Daphnia pulex: one gene and its partner. The protein of the gene in region 2 purifies or fractionates together with the protein of the main gene of each other region. This does not show direct contact. Links are inferred from orthologs where the notes say so. Each region holds a gene or a part of one and is shown on either strand. Other genes may lie near its edges. The genes, in order: eukaryotic translation initiation factor 2 subunit 2-like and cell division cycle protein 123 homolog.

Evidence for each region.
Region 1: the proteins of cell division cycle protein 123 homolog (region 2) and eukaryotic translation initiation factor 2 subunit 2-like purify together in Homo sapiens (affinity purification with mass spectrometry; 4 studies listed by BioGRID and IntAct, counting the BioPlex papers as one, with this or other methods). This does not show direct contact. The link is inferred for Daphnia pulex from reciprocal best matches to the Homo sapiens genes CDC123 and EIF2S2.

What each region holds. Positions count from the first base shown.
Region 1 is NC_060020.1:3,233,439-3,236,827, forward strand, and holds eukaryotic translation initiation factor 2 subunit 2-like, read right to left. Parts: upstream 1,955-3,389; 5' UTR 1,815-1,954; coding exon 1,797-1,814; intron 1,740-1,796; coding exon 1,096-1,739; intron 1,034-1,095; coding exon 715-1,033; 3' UTR 644-714; downstream 1-643. Other genes in the region: uncharacterized protein LOC124192455, read left to right, coding at 1-39, 103-477; cytoplasmic tRNA 2-thiolation protein 2-B-like, read left to right, coding at 2,266-2,333, 2,395-2,469, 2,534-2,739, 2,806-3,194, 3,265-3,389.
Region 2 is NC_060019.1:12,366,272-12,370,794, forward strand, and holds the start of cell division cycle protein 123 homolog, read left to right. Parts: upstream 1-1,464; 5' UTR 1,465-3,190; coding exon 3,191-3,430; intron 3,431-3,485; coding exon 3,486-3,581; intron 3,582-3,650; coding exon 3,651-3,764; intron 3,765-3,831; coding exon 3,832-3,952; intron 3,953-4,016; coding exon 4,017-4,290; intron 4,291-4,358; coding exon 4,359-4,523. Other genes in the region: very-long-chain 3-oxoacyl-CoA reductase-B-like, read right to left, coding at 286-439. UniProt on the Homo sapiens protein: ATP-dependent protein-folding chaperone for the eIF2 complex. Binds to the gamma subunit of the eIF2 complex which allows the subunit to assemble with the alpha and beta subunits.

The DNA of each region.
Region 1 (3,389 bases), on a different chromosome or scaffold from region 2:
TTGACTGGTTCAGCTAATGCTACAGTACCAGGATCAGGAGTAAGTCTGTTGATTTTGTCAATCAAGTATACTTTGTCTATAGTTAATGTTCTTACAATGCAGCGCAAGAGGAAGCGTCTGGACGCTGACGACGACGACTTAGCCTTGTATATTCCTCATTATAAAGGCCAGTCGAAACTGAATGGAGGAGGATTGCTGAGCTCTGAGGCCACTGAACAACCTCCTACGCTGACACTCTCGATGGTTCCTATAATTGGAAATTGGTTTTCTCCAGTTCAACTGGAAACCACTAAGGACAACCGTGAATCGCAACTAGACCATATTTCTTTGATACAGCGTGATTGCGACTCTCCTCTGAAACAAGCATCAAATTCAACAAGCGACAGTGATCCTTACGAAATAATAGATACCGAAGCTAGCAATGGCGAAGATGTTACTTCGGAGCAACAGAACGAAGTTCCCGTCGAATGTCCTTAGACCATGGAGTTTGAGTGGAAGTAAAAATTTGTTCATAAAATATAAAATTGTAACACACTAGAATTCGTTGTAACTAAGATTATTGAAAGTAATTAAACACAAAATTGTGGCGTAAAACAATTGTGCTTATCCTAAAATTATGGAAATTTTGCTTGGAAAAAAATGGTAAAGGAAAGAAAATGTATTTCTCTCATTAATGACAAAAGACAGCACATATTTTTTTCTGTACGAAGTAATTTACGCCGTTTTGGCTCGAATGGCCGCGCGTTTTCCGGTAACGGCCTGGAAACCAGATTTGATGGAGGCTACAGAACATCTTGAACCGCATGTTTCACATTGGAGGAAGAAAAGTCGAGTATCTTTCTGAAGAATTGTATCAGGTGATCGACACGTATGACAAGTGACGTATTCTTTAACGTAACGACGTAATACGTTTTCCATCTGTTTCTGTTGGAAACGACCTTTGATGATGAGTTGATTGTTACCATCAACAGACCCACTGGTACCTAACTCAGCCAGAAGAAATGCCAATACGTGTTTAGGTTGTCGATGTAACCTGAGAAGCAAAATAATTCTGTCGTAAGAGAAGTAGTCAAAAGAGTAACAAATATAACTTACGTTTTACATATTTCAGAAAAGTTCGCGAATGACGTTTTCTTGGTTCCAATTCGCACAACCTGGGGAGGCCTCATTGTAAACTTTTTCTTTTCTCCAGCTACCATTTCAGGATTCTTCTCTCTCATGATATTAAATACTCGATTAAGAAGCTCATCATAAGTGTAATCTCCATCAGTGGTCCAGGCAACTCCAGCATTTTCCTCTGTAAAACAAATGTAAAAAATGTTGACTTTTGAATTCAAACCATAATGTATTTCTTTATTACCTTTCTCGTCTTTCTCTTCTTCAACTGCTCCAGTATTTTTCTTCTTCTTCTTCTTTTTCAAGCTTTTAGAAAAGTCAAGATCTAAATCCTCTTGATCTTCAACTGCTTCTCCTTCTTGTCCTTCAACTTCAGGTGAGGCTACTTCAGTATCTTCAAGTTGGAAAGCCTTCTTTTTAGATTTTTTCTTCTTTTTGCCAAAGCTTTCAAGATCTAAGTCATCTACTTCTTTTACTTCTTCCTCTTCAGGATTTTCGTTTTCCTTTCCTACTTCTAACTCAACCGGCTCATTGCCAACTGTTCCACCAGCTAAAGCTGCGTCAAAATCGAAAGGGGTCTTCTTGGCCTTCTTCTTTTTCTTCTTCAAAGATGGATCAAAAATCTAAAAAAAAACAATTTATATAATTTGACATGGTAAACACTCTAAACAATAACTTACTGCTTCTTCTTCTGCCATGATTAAACAATACTAATTTTGTAGCACAAGTTATTAACAAATATAACGGTGTAAACGTGTCTAGCCGGAATACCAGCTGATGCAATGGCAGACCTGAATGCTGTTTTACACACAGCTAAGCTGTTGCCATTACGTCATGTGAACCACATAAATGCCATTAAGAACTCATTGAATTGGAAGTTTAATTTATATGTTACGTATTTTGATTATTTTATGTAAGTTAGAGAATAAATTTCAAGATATTATCAAAATAAAATATTAATGTCAGTTGTTTGGCAAGCATGTTAATTAGCAGACGACATATTTAGTTATTTACTGCAACGTGATTCCTGATTCGGGAATTTTGATCGTGTAATCGTGTAAATGCGTACTCTGCCTCGTTTTGACAATCTAATTTTTTAGTAATTTGATAATTTTATATCAGCATACCTCTTACCTCTATAATAAGCTCATGATGTGTTCTATTAACGAAGAAAACTTAGCCGAAGAGACCATGGTCGCAACTCCCAAACTATCAGTGTAAGATTTGGTTATTTGCTTGTAACCCGAAACTACCATTTAAACAAAAATTGTCATTTAGTACAGATGCAATATGCCGCAGATGTAACATACTAAAGGCTCAAGTTCTTCTACGTAAAACAGATCCATACTGTCGGTGAGTCTAAAACGAACTTAAAAAAAAATCTTCTTAATTCATCATCAAAAATTTTTTGTTTCAGTGATTGTTTTATGAAGTATGCTGTCCATAAATTCCGTTCCACGATTGGGAAAGCACATGCTCTTAAACATAATGAACATGTTTTATTGGCATATTCTGGAGGATTATCTAGTGGGTCCATGGTAAAGCTTATTAAAGAAGGCTTGGATCTCTCAGAAAGTAAAAAAATTAAAATGGTGTTCAAACCTACTTTAGTACACATAGACGGTAATTCAAATTCAGTTGCCAGTATAAAGAAATCAGAATAATTCTTAGTTTCTATACCTTTCTTAGAAGGTTTAATTTTGAATCTTTCCAAACACGAAAGGAAAGAAACCACTGATTTTGTTCTTGAGCAGGCTAAAAAAAATGGCTTTGATGTTTACATCTGTAGCCTTGAGTACTGTTTAGCACCAGACCTCAATGACTTGAAGCTGGAAATGAATTCTTACCAAATCGAATCTTCTATTTATGAAAGCCAACTGGAGACGCTATTTGGTTCTGTGAAAAGTCTTACGGCAAAGGAAGATTTACTAATTCGTTTGAAACAGCGTTTGATCACACTTTTAGCTACTCGATTGAATCACGCAAAAGTATTTTTAGGTCCAAATGCTACTAGATTGGCCGGCCAACTTCTATCTGCTATCGGTCAAGGAAGGGGGGCTCAGATTGCCCATGAGATAGTAAGTTGTCGTCGATTCTTTCTACTTTATAACGAATAAATTAATTTCTTTACATTTTTCTTTACTACAGGGATTTACGGATTCTCGTACCGGTACTGTTTTTCTACGACCTATGCGTGAGTTTGTCGATAAAGAAGTGGCGTATTTAGCAAATTTCTTAGGGGTTGATTCAGTGTGCCTGCCTACATTGTCATC
Region 2 (4,523 bases):
ACGCGTCCTTCTACCCTTTCCTTATGCTAACACGCTCAACACAAACACGCTTCATGCATATCCTTTCCACGATATATATGGAATAACGTTTACCAAGGACAAGGCCCCTGCTTTACATGTTCAAAATTGCCTTAGGCAGGATCAGCGAAAATTATGTATAGCTTGCGACCAACTCTAAACAAAAGCTAATTAATAAAGGAATTCCTATACAAAATAAATTTTGATAAGGAACAACACGGAAATAGTTCGAAGCAAAAAAAAAAAAAAAAAAATGTTTTTTCTAACCTGCCCAGGGTCCGTAATCCATCAGATTTAAATTCAATTTGAGCCAGGAACCAAGAAACGTAGTAAAAACAAAGTGGCAAACATTCCAGGTAAATTTTAATGCAATCAGTGATAACATTACAGTGGCAATCCATTCGAGCACGGAAAATGTCATCTTGGCGATTCTAAAGTTGCGTGGTGTTTGAAGGTAGACTCCAGTCCACCGGTCGGTTTTTTCTTTTCAAACACAGCTGGAAGGAAAGAGCAAGCAAAGGGGCGGTTACTCAAGAGGTGCTGTCTAATTTAAGGCTTGGGAGACTCCCATCTCATTTTCAGTCTTTTTATATTTGGCTTTATTTCATAGATGCTTATAAAAGACACTTTTACATGGCATTGTGGGCGAATTCAAGGTTACGTCAGACTTCTGTTGAAGCAAAACATTCTTGCCGGATCCGCGAATGGTTTCCAAGCGAAGCTGTGTGCATTTTTCTGCTGATGAAACTGAGTTATACAACTAAACTCACAATCATAGAAATCAGTTTATAGATGTTATTTGTGGGTTGATACATCTCTATATTAATTCTTTATCTTCTATTCTACATTTCTACTTCAATTCTCATTTATCCGAATCTGCTCTTCCGTCCATTTATCCGGCTGCGTCCGAGTTCTGCTCTCTTATATATAACTATTAAATTTTGTTTATTAAGTTTTTTGAGCTATCTTTTGTCATTTTATGTTTTATATTTAAAATTACTTCTCCTGGAAGTGTCTAAAGAGAGAAATATAAGCTATCTAAATTTCACTTTCTAAAATTTCATGTTTTACGTGATTACGGAAGTAACCTGCAGTATTTGTTGCTAAGGTAGTGCACGGTAGACTGCAGCGCCTGTACAGGTGGTTTTAAGAATTTAAATTTGAAATTCTAAAAAGGGAACCGCGAAGTCTTATACTAACACAACTTGTAGTCGAAATTTTCAGTCGTTGAACCTCAACACATTCGCTTTCGTTGCGTTTTCCTCGAAAATATAAAACCCGCCGGCACTCGGCAGCACTACTACATTAAAATAAGCTTTTGTAATTTACCTTAAAAAATGCTATAGGCTAGTACAGCTTATGATTTTAGTTAAATTTTTATTTTCATTTTCGAAATCGTTCACAAAATTAATATATACTAGTCCGAGAATCTGCTACAGTTGGGATAATTTCTTTAATGAAACACACACATATTTGATCGAAATCAGGAACCAGAATTTTTCTTTTGGTCTGCGTGATCTAAGTATATACCTTTTCACGTTCTTCTTTTATGGTGTAAATCTTATTCAGATAAACATTTTTTGTCATTTATGGGCCATTTCCCGCCGACTTCAGGCGTCTACGATACCTCCCGCAGGAGAACCCTCCTCTGTGGCTCTTCCCCACGGCAGACTTGCATTTTCGCCGTTCAAAATTGTAATGCTAAAATATTTTCAAGGTATCCTGTGTTACCGTCTCAGGCTCTATAGTCTCACGCTAGTTGTTGTCTTTATTGACGGGGAAAAATCCCCGAAAATCCCTTAAGGCAAAATTATTTTGTGATGGCCATGATAATTTCAATGAACGGACAGCTTTTTGGGGCATTCATTCCCAATTTTAGCTGCCAAAATCACATCAGCGAAACTTAAATTGCTATCTCAGTTAATTCAATAGGGCAAAGCCCGATTTCAATGCATGAAGCTGACGTTATGCTGCAGTATAGCGACCACCTTAGCGGTCACTCGTTCGGACTCTTTCCCCCAAATCAACCTTGTTCCCGTCAATAAAGTTCCCTGATTACGTCTTGTGAACAATTGTAAACAAAGAAATGGCCTCTAAAACCAACAGCTGTACCATCATATTATTATGGCCTTGTGCGGATGTGGCCGGCAGACTTGCCGGATTCGAAATTTGAAAAATAATCGCGGTTGAAAATTCTAATAAAAATTTTTTTAAATTATTTGTTAGCGCTAGAAATAATCGCCTGACAAGTCTCACGAAGTGCACCAGGGGTGCATCTGTTTTTAATCACGTGGCAGTTCTCAAATAACACCATTCTTGAATAAGTTCTAAAGTATTAAGTTTAAACTCCTATTAGAGTTTGGAGCTACTGTATGCGTGTCGTTATCTCGTCACATATGACGTTCCTTTAAAACCACTTATTCTTATAAGGCTTGACTCTTGAGCGCCATTCACGGATACACGGGGATTTATGAACTTGACAAAACTATCGGTAGATGAGAAAGCAATTTCTAGACATTTCTCGATTGACTATGCAAGCTGATACAAGGATAAAGAAAAAAGGTGGCAAGCTGGCAGAAGAAAGATGGCTGTTTTTAAAACACTTCAATTTTGTAAGAGTTATTACACTATTAACTCTGAGCGCTACCTTAGACAGACTACACCGTCGTTAATTTCATTGAATACTATCACCCCATAAGCACATGTAAAAACCGGTTATTTCAAAAACCATTAAAAAAATTTTTGAATTGAATTGAATTTTGCGATATAGTCCATGCTCAATTTTCACATCGATTTTGTCTTAGTGTTCGCTGTTCTTCGGTATTCCGACCAATTTTTTCAATTGTTGTGACTCCTTTTAAACCAAGAAGGACCAGCAGGGCACGGTTGCTTCATAAATTTGATTGTGTTTGATTTGATATTTTATCGTTTCCGAGAGACTCGTTTGGAATGCGCCGCCCACATACAAAACCAAATTTTCTCTGATCCTCGTTTCAATTTTCTCTTCATAGATGGCGTTATCGACCAATAACAAAAGCAAGTGACAGTTTTGGTTACTATTAGTTACTGCATATGCATGGCTAGTCTACTGAATTTAGAAAGCAAATGTAAGAACACGATTGACACGAACAAATTTGGTATCTGATAAACCTGCGTGGAACTTAGTTAAGGGATGAAAAGCCACGAAATCCAGGCGTGTTCTTTTTCTGAATGGTATCCACTGTTCAAGAAGGTGACGTTTCCTAGCAAAATTATTCCGTTAACTCAAGAGTTTGTCGACTACCTGCTCGCCGATAACTTGGTGTTGCGCAGCGATCAAGCGTTGCTTACATATTCCCGTGATGACTCCAGTGATTCTGAAGATGATGAAGAAGGTTGGGCTAAGGCAGAAAGCGAGACACCTACACTTGAGGTTTTAATTATTAGCATTTTGGTTTTTCTGTATTTTATAATTCTCGCTTTTCTAGGCCCCACATTTTGAAGACATTGACAAAGAGATTACCACAGCAATAGCTGAATTTGGTGGTAAAGCCTTTATAAAATTAAACTGGAGTTCTCCCAAGGTTGTGTTAATATTTTTTATTTCTAACTTAAATTTTCATATTATCATCGAGGTATTATGAATTCTGCAGGATGCTGCTTGGATTGCATTAAATAATTCTCTTCAGTGTCACATGTCTGCTGATGTACATCTACTGCTGAAAAGCTCTGATTTTATTCTTCATGATCTGACTGAGCCATTCAAAGTAATATTGTTCAACATCAATTAATCAGCGACTTTATACAACAAACTCATCAGCCACTTTATTACAGGAATGTGAAGATCAAAATGTCAATCAAACTCCTGTGAAGTATAATCTTGTTTTGAGAAAGTGGGTTGAAATAAACCCTGTGAATGAATTCCGTTGTTTTGTCCAGAATAAAAATCTAATAGGTAACGTTAGTGGTTTTACATCATGTTTCAAATTTAAAACATTGATTCTAATTGTGTCAATTAGGAATTTCACAGAGAGATGATACTCAGTTTTCTCCCTTCATTGAAAAAGAAAAAGAAGACATAGTTCGTGACATTGTCAGTTTTTTCAAAGAACAGATCCGTCCTAAATTTCACCTCGACAACTATGTGATGGACGTATTTCGACAACGAAAGGATAAAATTGTTTTGATCGATTTTAATCCTTATGGAGTTATCACAGACTCTTTGTTGTTCGACTGGAATGAAGATTTGCTACAGATAAGCGAGGCTTCAAAGACAACATCGCCTTCCGATTGGTAATTACTTCAGCTTGATTTTAAAATCGTCACAACTTATAATTAATTCAATTTGTTCTTATTCTCAGCGCTAGCGCTACGCCCGATTTTCGCTTCATTCCCGAAGAATCAGGGATCCGTAGCAATCCACTCCGTCGTTATTGCGTTCCGGAAGATATAGCCCATTTAACGTCGGGTGAAGATCCTTTCAAACTGATGGACCTTCTGAAATTGCGATCAGGGACCCAAGAAGA